Macaca mulatta: one gene and its partners. The protein of the gene in region 4 interacts with the protein of the main gene of each other region in a biochemical or structural test. Links are inferred from orthologs where the notes say so. Each region holds a gene or a part of one and is shown on either strand. Other genes may lie near its edges.

Evidence for each region.
Region 1: the proteins of NUP153 (region 4) and KPNB1 form a complex in vitro, tested with the Homo sapiens proteins (4 studies listed by BioGRID and IntAct, with this or other methods). The link is inferred for Macaca mulatta from reciprocal best matches to the Homo sapiens genes NUP153 and KPNB1.
Region 2: the proteins of NUP153 (region 4) and NXF1 form a complex in vitro, tested with the Homo sapiens proteins (2 studies listed by BioGRID and IntAct). The link is inferred for Macaca mulatta from reciprocal best matches to the Homo sapiens genes NUP153 and NXF1.
Region 3: the proteins of NUP153 (region 4) and SENP2 form a complex in vitro, tested with the Homo sapiens proteins (2 studies listed by BioGRID). The link is inferred for Macaca mulatta from reciprocal best matches to the Homo sapiens genes NUP153 and SENP2.

What each region holds. Positions count from the first base shown.
Region 1 is NC_133421.1:62,381,159-62,386,323, forward strand, and holds the start of KPNB1 (importin subunit beta-1), read right to left. Parts: upstream 3,753-5,165; 5' UTR 3,413-3,752; coding exon 3,373-3,412; intron 3,272-3,372; coding exon 3,213-3,271; intron 2,955-3,212; exon of another isoform or gene 2,292-2,954; intron 971-2,291; coding exon 788-970; intron 1-787.
Region 2 is NC_133419.1:11,249,918-11,254,895, reverse strand, and holds the start of NXF1 (nuclear RNA export factor 1), read right to left. Parts: upstream 3,117-4,978; 5' UTR 3,031-3,116; coding exon 3,003-3,030; intron 1,660-3,002; coding exon 1,473-1,659; exon of another isoform or gene 1,442-1,472; intron 1,288-1,441; exon of another isoform or gene 1,253-1,287; coding exon 1,099-1,252; intron 1-1,098.
Region 3 is NC_133407.1:97,734,255-97,739,413, reverse strand, and holds the start of SENP2 (sentrin-specific protease 2), read right to left. Parts: upstream 3,459-5,159; 5' UTR 3,402-3,458; coding exon 3,142-3,401; intron 131-3,141; exon of another isoform or gene 1-130. UniProt on the Homo sapiens protein: Protease that catalyzes two essential functions in the SUMO pathway.
Region 4 is NC_133409.1:165,356,073-165,361,118, reverse strand, and holds the start of NUP153 (nuclear pore complex protein Nup153), read right to left. Parts: upstream 3,018-5,046; 5' UTR 2,844-3,017; coding exon 2,733-2,843; intron 1-2,732. UniProt on the Homo sapiens protein: Component of the nuclear pore complex (NPC), a complex required for the trafficking across the nuclear envelope. Functions as a scaffolding element in the nuclear phase of the NPC essential for normal nucleocytoplasmic transport of proteins and mRNAs.

The DNA of each region.
Region 1 (5,165 bases), on a different chromosome or scaffold from region 4:
CCAAAGATTGAGATTTAAACAGCAGAAGTTCAACAAGAGCCAGGTGCTGGTTGACTGGATAATCACTTGGGGAGACAGTTTAAAAAACATCCCTTGGCCAGGTGCAGTGGCTCACGCCTGTAATCCCAGCACTTTGGGAGGCCGAGGCAGATGGATCATGAGGTCAGGAGTTCAAGACCACTCTAGCCAAGATGGTGAACCCCCGTCTCTACTAAAAATACAAAAATTAGCTGGGCGTGGTGACGGGTGCCTGTAATCCCAGCTACTTGGGAGGCTGAGGCAGATAACTTCTTGAACCCGGGAGGCAGAGGTTGCAGTGAGCCAAGATCATGCCATTGCACTCCAGCCTGGGCAACAGAGCAAGACTCCGCCTCCAAAAAAAAACAAAAAAGTGCCTGAGCTGTACTCCAGAAGTACCAAATCGGAATTTCTGGAGAGCTGGGAAATACGTATTAACAAATTCCCTAAGTGATGTGGGTATAGAGCACCAATTTATACACTACTCCCATTTGTCAAACAGATTTTTACAAATTATGACACACAATTAAAGTTTCCCAAGCTGCTGCAGCCTACCTCAATCATCTAAAAAGAATTCCAATCCATCAATGGGAATGGACAAGCTGTGTTGAGAAAGATTTAAGACAAAGACAATTTTTATCTTTAGGTGAAGTTCAAGTCCCAGAAACCTATCACACTGTCAGCTCTATCCCATGCAAATAGCAAAAGATCTGAGAAAGCAATTTCTTGTTCTCTAGGTAATATAACCAAACAGATGAGTGTTACTCACATAGTTCTTGACTTCTCGTCGAGCATTAGCATCAATAGCAAGCCACCTCTGCTGATATTGTGCCTTGATATCTGGATCTTTAGATGTCAAAGAGTTCTTGATTTGTAGACCAGCTGCAACTCTGGCAACCTGACTATTTCCTGGATTTGCCAGCACTCTGGACAGTTCCACAAGGAAAGTGGGCTGTTAAGGGAAGATAAATTTGTAAATAAAATTATCTTGGGAATTTCCACAACTGAGAATAATTTATGGAGCACTGAACCACCGGAGGAGGGGTGAGGTGGGGGGGGGAACTAATGTCTAATTTTTTTTTGGTATATCATAAGCATCTCAGGAAACCACAAAATACCTACTACAAGACTTCTATAAAAATGTTACTTAGTATATAACAGGAAGTCTTCCACCTTTCTCATGGAGCCTAGCACTTAATGAGGAATTGCAGATTTTCCTATCAAAATCATTCCTAGTACCCAAATTGTCACGTTATACTCCCTGAATTGCAAGGTTTTAGAGTATGGTAGTAGTTAGTCTTCTGTGTATACCGAGGTGTCCCAAGAATTCTTAATAATGTCTGGTACTTGAATGAATGGCTGTTACGATGCGGGTAGAAAATAAAACTGTTTATCTAAATTTCAAAAACCTTGGTCCCAAAAGAATGATCCAACTTTCCATCTCATGGCAGCAGCAGGGTAGCTTTTCATCCCATGGAAGGAGGTGATCTTTTATGAGAGAGGGAAATATAGATAAGCCTAAACAAACTTAGGAGCCTCATCCTCCGTTTTATTTGTGGGCACTCAGCAAAAAGGGAACAACGAAAAAAGCAGATTTACAAGGAAAATTGGTAAGATATTTAGAAATAGGGAAAAAGTGAAAGAAAAAAATCTTCAGGCAAGCTGTTCAAGAAAAATAACTTTGTATCTAATAATCAACAATTACTTGCTCCTATACATTTGGACTTTAGTTGAGGAATACAGTGGATCCCTGAAAAGCATGTTCTTTTGTAACCTTTTGTAATCCACAGGCCTCAAAAACTACTCCCTTTGTTTAAAAATTTAACACACACACCTCTCTCTCCAGCAAAAAAACCGTGCCCAAACAGCAAAGTTAGCAGGAAAAGCCAAAAGCAGATACATTTTTCTTACTGCTAACAAGTTCTGCAATCACAGCAGAAGATAATTCTTAAAAGTTTTATTAATTATGTACCACTAAAGAATGTTAAGAATGTTAGGAATAAGATAAAAAGCTTCTTGCAAAATTAGCAAAAGCAGAAACAGGAATAATACCCTAAATGGAATTATCAGCCTATACTAGTGGAAAAATCTATTCTAGGAAAGGATAAACAGGTTAGTTGTAAAAATTGGCACATATGAAGAACAAAAAAAAAATCATTCAAAGGCAGCCTGTATAAAATAAGCCTTGTCACTTTGTTGATGTTGACATTTTGCCTATATAACACAAAGAAACACATATGGTTACAATGTTATTCAGACTTATTTCCTATTACCTTTCTCAAAGATGTCAAGCATCATCCAATCCTTCCCTCTGACCCCATCTCCCAATAGGAGATGGACACCAAAGAGAAACTTAACTGGCATCTAGGCTGTTTCAACCAATCCATCCTACATTTTTATACAAAGGACCAGTCTCTAGCGGACTTAGCTTCATTTTCTCCGGACCCCTTAAATTTTAAAATATGAAAAACGAGTAACTTTCCTCTGTGATTTCATCAGGAAACAGGCCCGATCTCAAAGATGAGCCTCAGACTGTTGTCTGGGTGCAGATCCCTAGTGATTAGGTTTCTATTCATCCAGGTCAGAAGGAAAGGAAAAAAAAAAAAAAGGAAGAAAAAGAAAATACCCCGAGAGGAATAACCGGGCAGAAGAGGGAAAAATATTAGTGGAAATGGGTTAAGAGGCAGTCGGGTGCCAGGCCTGGCCATGAGCACACACCAAGGTAGCGAGGAAAGGGCAGAGCTCTAGGAAATAGGTGGGGAGAGCCACAGGGGCCACGGGACAGGAAGGATAAGCCGGCCGGGGTCAGACAGGGAGGGCACCCGGGCCCAGAGCTTCCACATGGCCCCTAGGCCTGACTCCCCCACCCCCACCTCTGCTGAACACGCAGCGCCGCGCAACCTAACTTCCCTTCCCTCCCTCTTTCTCCCTCCCGCTGCACCGCCGCCCTCAGGCCGCGCAATGATTGGGCGACAGGCAGCCCGGCGCGCCCCGCCATTGGCCAGTCGCAGGGCCCGGGGCGGGACACACCCACCGGCTTCCCGATGGCGGGGTTAGGTTGGACCGGGTTGGGGGGGAGGGGGACGGGATGGGGCGGGGTAGGTTCCCGAGGCCTGGGCCTCCCGGAGGGCGGGAAGGCCCCGCACGCAGGGGATGGGGACGCGGCGGGATGGGCGCGGCGGGGTAGCACGCACCAGGTTCTCCACGGCCGCACGCTCCAGGAACTTCTGCGCCGCTTCCAGCTCCAGCCGATCTGGGGGGAGGAAAGTGGGAGACGGAGCGGGGTCAGAGGGGCCGGGCCTCCCCTCCCCCACCCCAATCACCTCAGCCCGACCCCCGGCTCCTGCGTCCTACCGGGAGACACGGTCTTCTCGAGGATGGTGATCAGCTCCATGGCGGAGGTGGCGGCGGCGGCGACTCCTCCTAAGACGACGGCCCGGCCTTTCGGGCGGCGGCTCGAACTGGGGATGGGGGTTGGGGGTCGGGTGGGAAGGGAGGGTGGGGTGGGGGGCGGGGGTCACCACAAGCCCATTCACCGGCTCTTTCTGGGTAGTCGCTCCAGCTCCCCTTAGTCTCTTCTTCTCTTACTTCCTCCCTCCGAATGGGCTGCTGGCAGCGGGGGAGGGACCCCGGGGGCAGCTCAGAGCGCGCTGGTGCTCGGGAGGCGGAGGGAGAAAGAAGGAAGAGAAGCTGTGAGTGAGAGGCGGCACGCAGGGAGGGAGCGAGGGCGGGAGGAAGGCGGAGGGATATTCGGGCCGGACCTCGCCGCGGCGGCGCCGCGCTCCACGGCGATTGGCCGCTGTTCTGGCCACGCGGAATCCCCAATTGGCCAGGCGCTCAGCGTCGAAAGGCCGCCTTTCGCCCATTCGCCTGCTGGTTTCAAGGCCCGGGTGGCTGGGCGGGCAGGGGAATGGAGCGCCCTAATTGGCCGAGGGGAGGGAGATTGGGATGGGGCCGGAGAGAGCCCGCCGCTGATTGGGTTGGGCTTGGTAAAGGCCTTGAGCTCAGACCGGCTGAGCGCCGAGGAGGGTGGACCGAAGGCACGACTCGGAGCCTGCGCGATTGGCTGGGATAGTGGGCGTTGATAGGATAGGGTGCCTGGGAGAACTGGGGAGAGGAGTTCGGGGTCGGGGCGCGGGAAGGCGGGAGGCGCCCGGCTGCCCTCGGAGCCCGGCGCGGGGCACGATGGGACGCCCCCGGGAAGAGGCGGAGCTGGGTTCGACCGCTGGGGCTGCGGTTGGGTAAGCGCCGTCGCTCCGAGGGGCGTGTTGAGCGAGGCTTTCGCGGGCGTGAGCGGGGGAGGGGGGACCGTTGAAGTCCTGCGCCGCGCCCGCAGGAAGCTGCTTTAATGGCTAGGTCGGCTTGGTACCCTGCTCTTGGCTGGGACGGATCCGTAAGGCCATGTGGCTCCACTTGAAATGTGTAGATGTGGAAACTGAAGCCCAGAGAGGGTATGGAACTTGCCCAAAGTCACACAGCCGGTTAGTGGCTTGGTAAGGAATGGGTTCAGGAGCCTAGAGGGTATGGAACTTGTCCAAGGTCGTACAGCTGGTTAGTGGCTTGATAAGCTCAAGCTCTCCTGACTGCCGTTGTCCCTACAAGCAGCTTTCTCTCCAAGGAGTCCCCTAGGCCTGCTTATATAGGGCTTGAGACCTGTACTAAGTCTGACTTGCTTAGGGGTGAGCTAAGGGAATCCTACACTTAGACACCCCATCCTTGACAGAATGGAAATGCTTCACCCTGTAAAGGCTCAACCTCGAACCAGAAAGAATGTGTGTACAGGCATAAAGGATCGTGGTTCTTGACCTGTTTTAGTTCTGAACTCCTGAAGAAACTCATGAATGCCTTTTCTTAGCAAAATGCATATAAAGAAAATGTGGGCCGGATGCGGTGGCTGATGCCTGTAATCCCAGCACTTTGGGAGGCCGAGCGGGGCGGATCACGAGTCGGAGACCATCCTGGCCAACATGGTGAAACCCCGTCTCTACTAAAATACAAAAAAATAGCCCGGCGTGGTGGCGCATGCCTATAGTCCCAGCTACTCCTGAGGCCGAGGCAGGACGATCTCTTGAACCCTGGAGGCAGAGGTTGCAGTGAGCCGATATTGCGCTCCGTCTCAAAGAAAAGAAAAAAATGTGCATACAGTA
Region 2 (4,978 bases), on a different chromosome or scaffold from region 4:
GTGGCGGGCGCCTGTAGTCCCAGCTACTCAGGAGGCTGAGGCCAGAGAATGGCGTGAACCCGGGAGGCGGAGCTTGCAGTGAGCCGAGATTGCGCCACTGCACTCCAGCCTGGGCGACAGAGCGAGACTCCGTCTCAAAAAAAAAAAAAAAAAAATCAATTTTTTTTATTCTAAAAGTTTCAAGATATTATTTACACCTTGCCTGTCCCTCAGAGAACTTCATGGACTCCAAGCCCCATACTCAGCCTGAGCCAAATGAAGACATCCAGAGGAATTACTCCTTCCACAACCACAGTTTTCGTATTTCTCTTCCACCCCTTCTCTGAACCTGCTCTAAGGTGTTGGAAGATACTGATTCCTAGGAGAAGAGACAGATACTTGACTATGGCGTAATCAGCTAACAAGAATAATTTTTGGGCTGGGCGCGCTGGCTCATGCCTATAATCCCAGCACTTTGGGAGGCCAAGGCGGGCGGATCACGAAGTCAGCAGTTCAAGACCAGCTTGGCCAATACAGTGAAACCTTGTCTCTACTAAAAATATAAAAATTAGCTGGGCGTGGTGGTGGGTGTCTGTAGTCCCAGCTACTCAGGAGGCTGAGGCAGAAGAATCGCTTGAACCCAGGAGGCGGAGGATGCAGTGAGCCGAGATCACGCCACCGCACTCCAGCCTGGATGACAGAGCAAGATTCCATTAAAAAAAAAAAAAAAAAAAGGCCGGGCGCGGTGGCTCAAGCCTGTAATCCCAGCACTTTGGGAGGCCGAGACGGGCGGATCACGAGGTCAGGAGATCCAGACCATCCTGGCTAACCCGGTGAAACCCCGTCTCTACTAAAAAATAAAAAAACTAGCCGGGCGTGGTGGCAGGTGCCTGTAGTCCCAGCTACTCGGGAGGCTGAGGCAGGAGAATGGCGTGAACCCCGGAGGCGGAGCTTGCAGTGAGCTGAGATCCGGCCACTGCATTCCAGCCTAGGCGACAGAGCGAGACTCCGTCTCGAAAAAAAAAAAAAGAATAATTTTTGTGGAATAAAATTAAACATCTCTACTCTGAGCGTGGCCTCCGATCTCTACTGTACCATCTACTTGCTCAAAGTACTCACTGTAATCTTGAACCAGTTCTTTGAGGTCCCATCCTGGCTGGTGCCAGCCCCTCCTCTCTCTGGAGGAGCTCTGTCTCTCCGCACAGTAACATGAATGCGATCTCGATCATGCCAAGTATCACCCCGACGGTTAGGTCGGGTGGTATAGGGGTTGCTGTGGGTAAACAGAGGATAAAATGACCACAAATGCTAGGAAAGTCTTCTCAAAGACCTTCCTGCACTGTGTTGGCGGGACTAAACTAAGACTGTTCAATCGCTAAGCTAGTCCTGGCATTTCTCACTATAACAGGTGGGAAGGAAAATGACATGGACAGTAAAAGGGCCATATAATCTCATGAGCCACTAAATTCAAACCAGACCAACTGGTCACTTACTATCGTACTCGGGGACCATCCTGGGCATCACTCATTGCCACATCTCCATCATCTTCCTCCAGGCGGGAAGACCGAATACCAGAACCGCCTCTTCCAGACCTACGGTTTCCTTCACCATATTTCCACCGGAAGGGACCCCGGCCTTTTTTCTTTCTTTGAGGGAAATTAACGCGTTCATCATCGTGTTCTGGAGTTAGAAACAGGAACACAAATTAGAAGTAACTGGTCCGGCTTGGTGTGGCAATCATAGTTTCTACTCTGAACTACTGGAAGAGATACATACTAACTACACAGGCCATCTCCATGCAAACTCCGCTGCCTGTCCACAGGAAAGAACTCTCTCTGTGGGAGGTCAGCATCAAGGAAAAGTTATTGGAAATCTGTGCAGGGCTTTTGAAAAATGAAGTAGAAACTGGAATTAGAAGCAGAATGTATAAATGTGAGACCCCAAAGTGTAAGTGAACACAAATCAGACCTCTGAAAGCCACCTGAAATCTGCCACTCAATACTTTGTCTATACAGTACAGATGCCAGTTACAAATATGATCAGTTTAAGGATCCTCTAAAAATTCTCCTTGTTCTCAAATTGCCACTTTGAAGTTTTCTGAGGAGCTCTTCGATTCCTTGGCCAGAAATGCCCTTTAACTCAGGAGACAATTTCTAGACTCAGGCTCTAGTGGTAGTGCCAGGCTAGGGTGCTTAACCAGGGACCCTGGAATGCTCTCCAGGAATATGATCTGATTCATGCTGTGCAGGACTAGCGTCTTAAAAAGGGTCCCTAACTCCCAAAAGAGATCTGCCTAATACCGAGCACTCTGTAAACAATGAATCTCAACAAATGACCCTAGGAAAAAAGAACACAGAAGGCGCAGCTAACATTCATTGAGAACTGTTCTCCAGTACCGGCCACTATGCTTCAGGCACTTGATAGGAATGATCTCATTTTCCCCCCTACTTCCCCCCCAACTCTTAAGAAATACTGTTGTTATTCCACTTTAAAGGGGTGGAAGAGGAGAGTTTTAAATTCACGGTTTCAACCTCCACCATGCACTCCTAACTACTACAAAGAACTAACACCCAGTGTAGTGTTCAGACTGGAACATCCAGTTGATGTGTAAGTCTCGAATATTAAGCCAAAGCCCAGGCCCGAGGGTTCAAGACCGACTGGACGCAGTAAAAAATAGGGCACCAGGGCAGCCCATGAGTAGGGCACTAACTCACATTAAAGGAAGAGTCAGGCCGCCAAACCGAACTGACAGGCATCAACCACCCACAAAGTTCAAAGGAATCCCGTCCCCCTACCCCCGAGCCACCCGCTCCGAGCCGCAGGTCCCCCAACACCAGGATTCCAGGAGGAATCCAGGAGTCAACAACTCGGTAATCCACCTCGAGTGCCCCCGACCCCCCGCGCGCCGCTCCCCGCGGACGTCGGGCCCCTGGCGGCCTCACGCCCCGGAGGCTGAGGCCTAGGCCGGCGCCGCCCACCCGCGCCCCAGATAGCCGGTTCCCGACCCGAGGACCAGCACTGACCGCTGTACGACTTCCCCTCGTCCGCCATGCCACAGCGAAGAGCAAGGGCGGGCTCAAGCGCTGGCCGCTACGCCGGCAAACGACCGAACGCCCAAGCACTCAGGACCGAAGTGTCCCTACGCCGGGCGCCACCGCATTTATATAGCAAAGCACGTCGCGCGCCGCTGACGTCCCAGGCTGGAGGCGGTGTCGCCGCCCGGAGAAAGCGCGACCCCCTGCGCGTGCGCACACTTAAGGCCGTCGTGCGAGGGGCGGGGCCTGACCCTCCGCGCCCCGCCCAAGACCTGAGCTTGCGGAACCCCGGCTGGTAGCCAGCAGGTCCCCGCATGTTTTCATCTGTCCGCTGACGCTGCCCTGGCAGCTTGAGTTAGTGCTAGAGCAGAGTGCTGCCGCTGCAGCCCAGAACTCAGCGGGGAACGGGGCCGTACCAAGGGCTTCCGAGGAATGGAGACCGCGCCTCCGGGTGGGAGTGATGGCTCAGACCCCTACCCGCATCTAGCCAGTGTGTCAGCTCGGCTCCTTGTCTATGCCTCGCTTTCTTCGCCTATAAGATGGATTAACAAATCACGAAGTTGAGAATTAGAATGTGAGCTCGAACGTTGACTAAAGGCTTTTTTTCCCTCGAGGGCTTGACTCGGCAGGTACTATGCCTGGCACATAGTAAAAATTCAACATGTATTTGTGAAATAAATGAATTTCTATTCTGTGAATTTCCCCCACCCCACCCTGAGTTGCTGAGTCAAATGAGACGACATCTGTCAGGGGTTTGCCGAGCATTGTCTTCACAGACCTTCCATCAATGGCGTCCCCTGTTAGAAACCCATCGTGTCAACGGGGCAGACAGTGAAGCTCACCAGCAGTGGCAACTTGCTGGAGATGCCGAGGAGGAGGACATTTTAAAATATCAGGGCCTTGGGCTCTCCTAGACCCCCAAAAGCACCACCATCAGCCCCTGATTGATTGTTGTCTCTATAGCTTCAGCTTCCTTTGGAATGTATGAGACAGGGGCACTGGAGCGTCCTCAGAATGTGGTTGCGAGTCTTGGTCAGGAAGAACAAAGCACATTAATCTCTCTGGACGGTGGGTATTTTGGGCAGGTGTTTCCTCCATTCTCTGTGACTGGCTTTGATTTGGTGAAGTGCTTTGAGGGAATCAAAAGCCTCAACTGGAGTTGGGAACAAATTCTTCACCTTCCACTCCTGGCAGCAGGCAGAGCTTCTGCCTTGCTTAGCTCAAGGAAGAATTACGGCCAAATAGTTGGAGGATACAGATGAAACAGGTCCAAACACTGTTTGAGATGGTCTTGGAAGCTGCCACCAATCAGGGACCCCCTCTGGGATCCTGCTTCTGTGTGAAAGGAAGTTTCCATGCTAATCAAGTGTTGCAACACTTGGTTCTCCCCTGTCTAGAGGCAGCTGTGTGTCAGAGCCCAAAATAGCCTGCCTCAGCAGTGATACCTGGCACAGCCATTAGCCCAACCCTTTCAGTTCTGGTACTGGGCAGTGGGCTCACTCCACTCGCTGCCTAGGCCCTTCGACGCTCCCACCCAGAAATGATGACATGGCTAGTGAGGCTGACAGTCTTGCTGTAATTGGGAGAAAACGGGCTGCAGCACATTTGGCAGATTGAGAGTCACCAGCAGCCAATGTCAGGGGTTGTGCAGGCAGCTGAAGGGCTCAGGGTTCCCTGCCCCACATGGTGAAAGAGGAAGAAAGAGGTCAATTGGGAAAATTGGTCCCTGGGGCTGCTTCCTCTCTTCACTCACAGGAAGGTGGGGAAAGGCATCATCTCCCTTTGCTGCCAACGTTTCCTTTGGGAGAGGCTGGAGAGGGTTTATAAAAGTCTCCTAGTGGAGACAACCTACCCCACTGGCCCCCAGCTGGCCTCTGTTCCCTTCCAGTCACTTCACACACAGAGTCCAAATCTAGAACCCTGTGTGTTTCATAGGCCTGAGGGTGGTGGGGGGAGGACAGGGT
Region 3 (5,159 bases), on a different chromosome or scaffold from region 4:
GAGCCAATCCCGAGCCGGCCCGTGGGACAAGGCCCACAGGCCTCACGTGAGGCTGCTCCACTCCGGAGGAGGTGTTCCAGGGTCCCAGAGGAGAATAGGTGCTCAGTGTTTGCTGAGTGCACACGTAAAGGTAGCTCAGGTTAATTAACACACAAATACCGTTTTAGGCGCCCTTTATTTTGCACTTACCTTTTGTCTCGTACTTTTCATGCATTGTAACCTTAATATGCCCAGCAACGGCATATGACAGTCTTATGCCAATTTTATAAGTCAAGGAAATTGAGTCATAGAGCGATTAAGTTATTTGCCTAAGATCACAAAACTAGCTAGAGATGCAGCTGGAACTTGAACCCGGGGTCTGAGTACCAGCGCCAGTCCCTTGCCCTTGAGGTCAGTCTACTTGGAGACGTGTACATAGATAATTACAAGTTATAATACACTGTAAGTGGTTACTGTGATAAAGGTGTGTGCAGAGTGCAGTGGGAGCCAGAGAAAGGAAAACCACACACTGAGGGCGAGAAGGAAAGGACAGATGTCCTCAAGAAAGGCTTCACAGAAATTTAAGGATGAAACCTGCGGCCCACTAATGTCTCCTACCCTGCGCTAGTAATGAGTCTCGTTACCCTCCCTCTATAATTCCAACGTCACATTTCTAGTTAATTGTCAACTATAGGCCGGGCGCGGTGGCTCCTGCCCTTAATCCCAGCACTTTGGGATGCTGAGGTGGGCAGATCGCTTGAGCCTAGGAGTTTGAGACCAGTCTGTGCAACATAGTAAAACCCCGTCTTTACAAAAAATACAAAAATTAGCCGGGTGTGGTGGCATGCACCTGTAGTCCCAGCTACTTGGTAGGCTGAGGTGAGACGATTGCTTGAGCCCAGGAGGTTGAGGCGGCACTGACTCGTGATCATGCCACTGCACTCCAGCCAGGGTGACAGAGTGGGACCCTGACGCACCCCATCAAAAAATTACCAACTGAAAACAAATCCCACCCTACTTAGTGACAGAAAATTCAGTCCCCTCTTCCAAACAATCCTGAGAATCCTCAAAGGTTTTCATGCCGCACAAATCCATTCCTGACTAACTTGTTTCCTACTCGTGATTCAGTTAAGGCCAGAGTTTTACACTTGCTTGAACTTCAACCCTGGCATTCCCCAGTTCAGCCTCTTCCTTTCCTCAATAGACAGCATTCCAGGCCGGGTGTGGTGGGCTCATGCCTGTAATCCCAGCATTTTGGGACGCCAAGGCAGGCGGATCACTTGAGGTCAGGAGTTCAAGACCAGCCTGGCCAACATGGTGAGACCCCCCATCTCTACTAAAAAAGAAAAATACAAAAATTAGCCAGACATGGTGGTACACTCCTGTAATCCCAGCTACTTGTAAGGCTGAGACAGGAGAATTGCTTGAACCTGGGAGGTGGAGGTTGCAGTGAGCGGAGATCACATCACTGCACTCTAGCCTAGGCAACAGAGCAAGACTCTGTCTCAAAAAAAAAAAAAAAAAATTCCAGAATTCTGCTGCAAGCCACCACCTAGAGCTTCAGAATCACCAGCCACACACCTGCAGCTACCACCACTCTGGCCTGGGGGCTGGGGTCATATCCTAGAGGATGGAAGCAAATCTTAAGTGTGGACACAGCCCCCTCCCTTATTCCCCTAAGCATAGCAAACACCAACCAGGCTGTTGCTGAAAGTTTGGGGCATTACAAAGCTGAGAAGACTTAGAAGTGGCTATTAGATTATGCAGCATCTATAGTCCCTGGCCTGTCTCGCAAAGGAATTCTCTTCACCTCAAGGCCATCCCTTTACTCTTAACACCTTTGGCAAGCTGTCAACAGAAGGGACTTTTCCCTCTACCTCTATCCCGACATATTTCAGGCTGGACTCCCCGTAAATGTAATCAGAGTCAGGACTCCTATTAACAAAAGACAACCATTGGCATTATTGTGCAGAGCAGTTCAGTTACGTCTGTCCCTTCCACTCACTATGAGTGTTGGGCTTTGCCTTTGCCAAACCAAGAAGCCCGCTCAAGTACTGGGAGAGGATTCTCCCAAATAAAAGAGCAGTCTTCATTTAAACACAAATCATACGTCCTAAGAGAACGATTTTTTTCCAAGTTAAAAAAAAAAAAACACATAAATCAGAAAACTACAAGCTGCTGCCGGGCACGGTGGCTCACACCTGTAATGCCAGCACTTTGGGAGGCTGAGGCAGGCAGATCACAAGGTCAAGAGATCGAGACCATCCTGGCCAACATGGTGAAACCCCGTCTCCACTAAAAATTAACTGGGCGTGGTGGCGCGTGCCTGTAATCCCAGCTACTCTGGAGGCTGAGGCAGGAGAATTGCTTGAACCCGGAGGCAGAGGTTGCGGTGAGCCGAGATCACACCACTGCACTCCAGCCTGGCAACAGAGTGAGACTGTCTCAAACAAAACAAAACAAAACAAAACAAACAACAAACAAACAAAAACTACAAGCTGCTTTTGAATAGCAACCTATTCCAGGTCTGGCCACTGAGATTTAAGAAATATTGTGGTAGGCTGGGTGTGGTGACTCATGCCTGTAATCCCAGCACTTCGGGAGGTCCAGGCCGAATGATCGCTTGAGCCAGGGAGTTTGAGACCAGCCTGGGCAACACAGGGAGACCCTGTCTTTAAAAAAATTTTATTTTTAATTAGCCAAGAGTGGTGGCATGTGCCTGTAGTCCCAGCTACTTGAGAGACTGAGGTGGGAGGTCAAGGCTGCAGTGAGCTGTGATTTCACCACTGCACTCCAGCCTAAGTGACAGAGTGAGATTTATAATCTCAAAAAAAAAAAAGAAAAGAAAAAGAAAAAAATATATTGGGGTCACACTTGATAGCCCTGAGGTGCAACACAACAACACATTTTTTTTTTCCTTTTCCTGCCTCATAAATAGCACCCTTACAAACTCAATACTGAAACACAGGCCATCTGCCAGGAAGAGTGAGAAGGCTTCAGAATTACAGATCTCAATCAGAATCCCAGGGCCCCAACAGCAAACAATAACTCAAGAAACGAACGTGGCAATCCTCAGCCTCCCACCATGCATGCTCCCTCCATATCCTCTCAGTTACCCTCTAGAAGGAAGAAAAGGAGACACATCCTTATACTCGCTCCCACCTGGGACTTGTCTGCCGATTGGTGCCTTCGCTGTCCTGTGGTCCACAGTAGAGACATGGGTGACTGTCCAGCCACTGGCCAAGTGGGATTATCCTTAACCCCAACCCCACCACTGCCACAGCCTTGCCAGGACCCAGCAGCTCTTTACTGGAAGGCCATAGGAGAATCCCAAGGCCATATGGAGTAACAAGGACATTGAGATATCTGCCCTTGGCTTGGATAATTTTCAGCTTTGTACTGCAAGAGGGGCACAACCTCATTGCTTAAGCTTTTGTAGGTGTTCCAACCAGATGCCACAGTTCTCCAAGAAGATGCTTATCCCCTTCCAGCTGAGAGCAGCTCCTTGAAGCCTTTTCAGGGCCCCACCCCCTTCTTCCTCCAAACCTACCTCCCCTCCAATCCATTCTTTAGTCTTGCAAATTTCCCCTTTTAAAGCATTCAAAGAACGTTAACGAATTTCTTCTCAACTTTGTTTTTCCTGACCCCTGGACAGAAAAGAATTCTAGGCCATCTGTGGGAAGGGGTAAGGGCGCCTAGAGGAGGTCGTGTTGGCTTAGGCCTAATGTGCCTAAAATCCAACATAATTCACCACTCTGAAGAGTAATTTCTTTCTAGGTACCAACTCTTCTGGTACTTAAGAAAAACGTGTCCTCCTAATACTAAGTGACAGAGTGAGATTTATAGTCTCAAAAAAAGAAAAAGGAAAAGAAAAAAATATATTGGGGTCACACTTGATAGCCCTCCAGTGCAACACGACAACACACGAAGACTGATCTTATTCAATCTGTGCAATAATAACCTGGGCCATACTATACCAAAGGTGAATACACCCCTTTTGTGTCATAAATTTCATCATAAAACTGGCCAACATTGACTGCAAATGGCCCAGCCCACCTCCTATGGAGACATAGCGCCACACCTTACCTAAGCCTGCGTCCTGATCTATAAAATGGAGTTAATAAAACCTGCCTCTCAGATCTATGGATAGTTAAATATGTTTGTGAGCCAGGCGCAGTGACTCAGGCCTGTAATCCCAGCAGTTTGGGAGGCTAAGGTGGGCAGATCACTTGAGGTCAGGAGTTCCAGACCAGCCTGAGCAACATGGTGAAGCTCCGTCTCTACTAAAAATACAAAAATTTAGCCGGGCGTGGTGGTGGGTGCCTGTAATCCTGCCTACTCAGAAGGCTGAGGCATGAGAATCGCTTGTACCCGGGAGGCTGATATTGCAGTGAGCCGAGATCATACCACTACACTCCAGACTGGGCGACAGAGGGAGACTGTCTCAAAAAAAAAAAAAAAAAAAAGAAAAGAAAAGAAAAGATGATGGGCATTGTGGCTCACACCTGTAATCCCAGCACTTTGGGACACTGAGGAGGGTGGATCATGAGGTCAGTAGTTTGAGACCAGGCTGGCCAATATGGTGAAACCCCATCTCTACTAAAAAAATACAAAAATTAGCCAGGCGTGGTGACGTGCGCCTATAGTCCCAGCTACTCGGGAGGCTGAGGCAGGAGAATCACTTGAACCCGGGAGACGGAGGTTGCAGTGAGCCGAGATCGTGCCACTGCACTCCAGCCTGGGTGTCAGAGCAAGACTCCCTCTCAAAAAAAAAAAAAAAAAAAAAAGGAAAAGAAAGAAAAGAAAAGGAAGAAAAGGAAAAGTGTTTATATAGACGAAGGGCCTAGTCAGTGCCCAGCACAGCTAGCTGATGCTTAACATTTCTCTTGCCTCTCCTTCCTTTTCATATCTAATAAATCTTAACTTGCCTGGTCTGTATCATTCCTCTTTCCAAACCTATCAGAACTACAGTCCTTCCTTTTTTTTTTTTTTTTTTTTTTGAGACAGAGTCTCCGTCTGTTGCCCAGGCTGGGCAGTGGTGCTATTACAGGTGCCTGCCACCACATCCGGCTAATTTTGTATTTTTTGTAGAGACGGAGTTTCACCATGTTGGACATGCTGGTCATGAACTCCTGGCCTCAAGTGGTCCACCCACCTCAGCCTCCCAAAGTGCTGAGATT
Region 4 (5,046 bases):
AAATCAGAGCTTAAGAGGGAAAGTGGTAAACTTATAGCATTTCCCAGGAGAGCTAAATCCAGAAGTCAAAACAGGAAATTACAAGTCAAATGAACACATGCAGAAGTCACAGGTACTGGGTGACCGTACTAGCAAGTTGCCCTGACAGGCACTGGCAAACATCCATCAAGTAAGAGCACCAGACCTCTCACTGTTTCTTACTTCAGCTTTCCGCTATACTACCAAAAGCTTAATTTTTGCTCAGAAACCCTTGGACACTTAATCAAATAACATGAGTATAAAACATGCCATGTCATGAAGCTTGCTTCATGATGACTCAGCAGCTGCTGCAAAACATCCAGTTCACAGTCTAGGATAGTAGACAGCAAGTGAGTAGACCCTATGTTCACCAAAGTCTCAATAAGGACTAAAGAAAGCCCTTATTTTTAAGATTAAAAAAAAAAAATAGAGTATTCTTTTGAATGTACCTGAATACTTTTCTTGGGTAGTGGTAGTTTCTGACAATATTAAAGAGCACCTACAGTGTTGATCAAGAAACCCCTAAATACCTTTAATTCCCAATTCAAAAGCTAAAATATGTTTTCTTTTTTAATTAAATAGCCAGAGCAAGAAGCAAAAGTATTTTAGATAAGGGGCAATGATAAACTATCAAGATTTAAAACAAAACTACACAGCCTGAAGCCATATCAACTCTAAGACACCTTGGATCATAGGTATTATGCTGTTAAGGCATCGTCTCCCCAAAATTAGATTTTTATTTTATCTAAGTACATTTCAAAATAAGCTGTGATAACTTCAGACATTTGGAAAATATTAATTCCCTTCTAACCTCTATCCAGACCATCCAATGACCTATATTTAAAACACGTCATTTTTCTATACATGTCATACAAGAAAATCTAAGCACTCAAAGGCATTCATAGGAGAAAAGAAAGCATGCATGTCTAACTTCCATTCTATAGAAGGATTAGGTTAAATGGCCAGGCTTGTGACCTGAATTCTAATCTTAAATCTGCTTGCAAATACCCCTGTTCGTCACAAATTTGAAAACTAAGTACTTTACATATATATCTCGGGGAAAATTGGTAGAAGTAATAACAATGCCAAACCTAACCATCAGTAGAGAACGACTTAAAATACCTGAGCCACGATTTTCACTACTCAAACATTTCCCTCAAAATAAAAAACATTTAAGAAAACTTAAAAAAAAAAAGTCCTCAAATCTTTACCTTCCCCCCCGCCCCGCCCCAGACGGAGTCTGGCTCTGTCGCCCAGGCTGGAGTGCAGTGGCGCGATCTCGGCTCACTGCAAGCTCCGCCTCCAGGGTTCACGCTACTCTCCTGCCTCAGCCTCCCGAGTAGCTGGGACTACAGGCGCCCGCCACCACGCCCGGCTAATTTTTTTATATTTTTAGTACAGACGGGGTTTCACCGTGTTAGCCAGGATAGTCTCCATCTCCTGACCTCGTGATCCCCCCGCCTTGGCCTCCTTAAGTGCTGGGATTGCAGGCGTGAGCCAAGGCGCCCGACCCATACTTTTACAAATCTGTTGATAATGACACAATTTAACAACATCAACCATGTGAAAGTGTGTAATATTTATTAGCATCCAGAATAAAGTAATCTAGGAAGTCTACCTTTAACAGTAGGCAACAAGTTATCAGATCCTTTTGCTACACTTTTGTTTTTCAACAAATTTAAAACACACACTTCCCACCTCAGTATCATTGATAAATTTTTAAGTGGCTTTATTAAAATAAGTTAACATTTTCCTATTCAATCCTTCTAACAACCAATTATTTTAAAAATGGAATTTTCTCAGAATCAACTACCTCATTTACAATTACGATAATCTTTTTTTATAATTTTAAACATCCACGAATTCATACACTGGCTAAACTATAAGATCACCAACATTCCTGGAGCGTCAAAAGTAACTAAACTTCTAGAATACGCCTCATAATATTAAAATATTTTGTGTATGAGATCAGAGCTGGAGTCCTGGTCAACTGTGGAGAATGGCCAATTCCAGCCTCCAAAATAAAAGCGGGGGTGGGGGGGAGTCGCGCAGCAGAGAAAAGACGTAAGGGTGGAGAGGGACTTTCAAAATGCCCCAGTGCCACGGTTAACTATAACCCGGTTAAGAAAACCTAAGCCAATGCTCTCAAGACGAGGAGGAACACCGGCAGGGGAAACCGAGAATTAATTCATAGGCTGAGACTAAGTTATTCCACTTTCCATGTAACAGCGCCCCCCACAACTCCCCGTCTGCCCCAGAGTTAAGATTCCTCGGGGCAGCCCACTCCCCACACACACACACTAAAGGAGGGACACCAGAAAACAACAAGGGCAATCAACCACAACTTTTCCTTTCTCCCTCGAGAGGACGTGAGTAATACCCTCAAACTCCAAATCCCCGCCAAAAAAGAAAGAAACGCGCGCATCCTGGGCCTACAATTTCTTTTCCCGCCCAGAGCCTGCCTGGGAAAACCCCTGACCCAGAGGGTTGGGGGAAAGGCGGCCCAAACCACACGTGTGCGCCGCAAGGCTGGACCTGTCTCAGCCCACTTCCCGTCGCCACCCCCAACGGCCTGAGCTCCCCCGAAGCCTCACTCGGGCCTTTCCTCAGGCCCTCCTGTCTGCTCCACGTGGGGCGCCGGGGCCTCGAACCGCCCGTCCCCTCCAGCCGAGTTTCCCCACCCGCCAGGCCACCGCGGCGTCGGGGTCCCATACCTGATGCTGTTGTCGCCCCTGCTGGTAAGGCTTAATTGGCCCCTGGTGGCAACGCCGCGTCCGGATCTTGCCGCCACCGCCCCCTCCGACTCCTCCGGCTCCCGAGGCCATGGCGGAGCCTCCGCCGCTTCCCGCTCCGGGGCGGGTAAGGGGGCGGGAGAGGCAGAGGCGGAGGCCTTAGAGCGCCCCCCCCGCCGCCCGGCCCCGGCCCAAAAGTCCGCCCGAGCTGTCCACACAGTGGGCACAAGCACCCCAGGAACCGCGAGGTTGCGAGCAGGAGCGGAGAGAGGGTGAGTGCTGGCAGCGGGGAAGGGGGTGGCGGCCGCAGAGGCCGAGGAGGCTCCGGTCCCGCCGCCTCTGCGGACCCCCGCCTCTGTGTATGTCACGGTCTCTATGGAGATCTCCCGCAGAGGACAGCACTAACAGCTCCCGGCGGTGCTGAGGCCTAACTCGACCGCCGACTGGTGGGGATTCTTCCGTCGCCCTAGCCGTAGCTGCCGCAGTTGAAGCCGCTGGCGCCGCCCGCCTACCCCTCCCCTGTGCGCACAGCGCCCGCCCCGCCGTCGTCGTCGTCCCTGCAGCCTCCGCCGCCGTTGCGCCTATTACCGCGGCTAAGGCGGCTGCCGCGGTCGCGAGCCAGAATGTCGTCACTCACAGGCGCCCGACGCATTTGCATCATCATGCTACGACGAGCTGGTAGGCAAAGAGGAAGGACTGATGGAGTCCACTCTCTCGGCCGCGCGGCACGCTGGGAAACGTAGTTCAACAACGGAACGCGGATTCTCGGAAAGGGAGAGGGACGGGGAAGGAGATCCCCGGAGCGCCGCAGAGGCACAAAGCCAAGGGGTACTTTTGCCGTTCTTGGTTGTAAATTAGACTCTGAAAAGGCACTTAACATAAAAACAGTAACTTCTTCCCACTCTCCTTCTCCCTGTCGGTTGGTTAAGTGGGCAGGAAGTAAGCAGATAGTAAAATCAAAGAGCTAATGATTTAAGAAGGAGGAAAAAAATCTGTGGTTGAAAAACAATGTCCATGATCCTTAGAATTAGAAAATATATACGACTTCATTAATGTTTATTTAAACATATAAAGGCTTTGTTGCCAGACACACGGGGCTGGAATTCTGGTTCCGCCACCCAACCTATTTGACCTTGGATGAATCAAAACCGTCTGAGCCTTAGCTTCCTCCTCCATAAAATGGGAGTTTTATAAAGCTGTTGTGAGAGGCAGACGTGATCATCTATGGAGAGCATGTATATTTACTAATAGGCGAAAAATGCAATGAATGATTACAATTTTAACCCATACAGTCAGCTAACATTAGAGGTAAGTGATAGATACATCCTTACTAATAAAAGTATACCGTATTTGCTCCAAATAGAAGGCATTGTATTTAGGAAACTGAGTAAGTGAACTAGACTCAAAGACTGAATCCACAAAATATATATTCTAGGAGTTGACGATTAGAAAGGCCCTGGTGATCACATAGTCCAACCCTCTCATTCAACCAACCAGACAAGAGGTCCAGAGAAATTTAGGTGGCACAATCAATGACACTGAGATGGGTAATCAAAGCCAGGACTATAACCCAACTTTTCTGTAAGAGTTAAAGACAAATAGCCAAATGATTAGGGAGGAAAAATCTATTGTGAAAAATCTTAGACTTACTATAAAGCTTATTTTTTCTTTCTTTCTTTTTTTTTTTGAGAGACAGTCTTGCCCTGTAGCCCAGGCTGGAATGCGGTGGTGCAACCTTGGCCCACTGCAACCTCTGCCTCCCAGGTTCAAGTGATTCTCCTGCCTCGGCTACCTAAACAGCTAGGACTACAGGTGTGCACCACCACGCCCAGCTAATTTGTGTATTTTTAGTAGAGATGGAGTTTCGCCATGTTGGCCAGGCTGGTCTTGAACTGCTGACCTCAAGTGATCCACCCACCTTGGCCTCCCAAAGTGCTGGGATTACCGGTGTGAGCCACCACTCCCAGTCAATTTACTGTAAATCTGCCACTTACTAGCTGTGTAACCTTTGGGAAGTTACTGATCCTGTTTCTTTCTTTTTTTTTTTTTTTTTTTTTTTTTTTTTTTTTTTTTTTTTGAGATGGAGTTTTTTTCTCTTGTTTTGCCCAGGCTGGAGTGCAATGGTGCAATCTCGGCAACCTCCACCTCCAGGGTTCAAGCGATTCTCCTGCCTCAGCCTCCCAAGTAGCTGGGATTACAGGCATGTGCCACCACGCCCGGCTAATTTTGTATTTTACTAGAGACAGGGTTTCTCCATGTTGGTCAAGCTGGTCTCAAACTCCCAATCTCAGGTGAT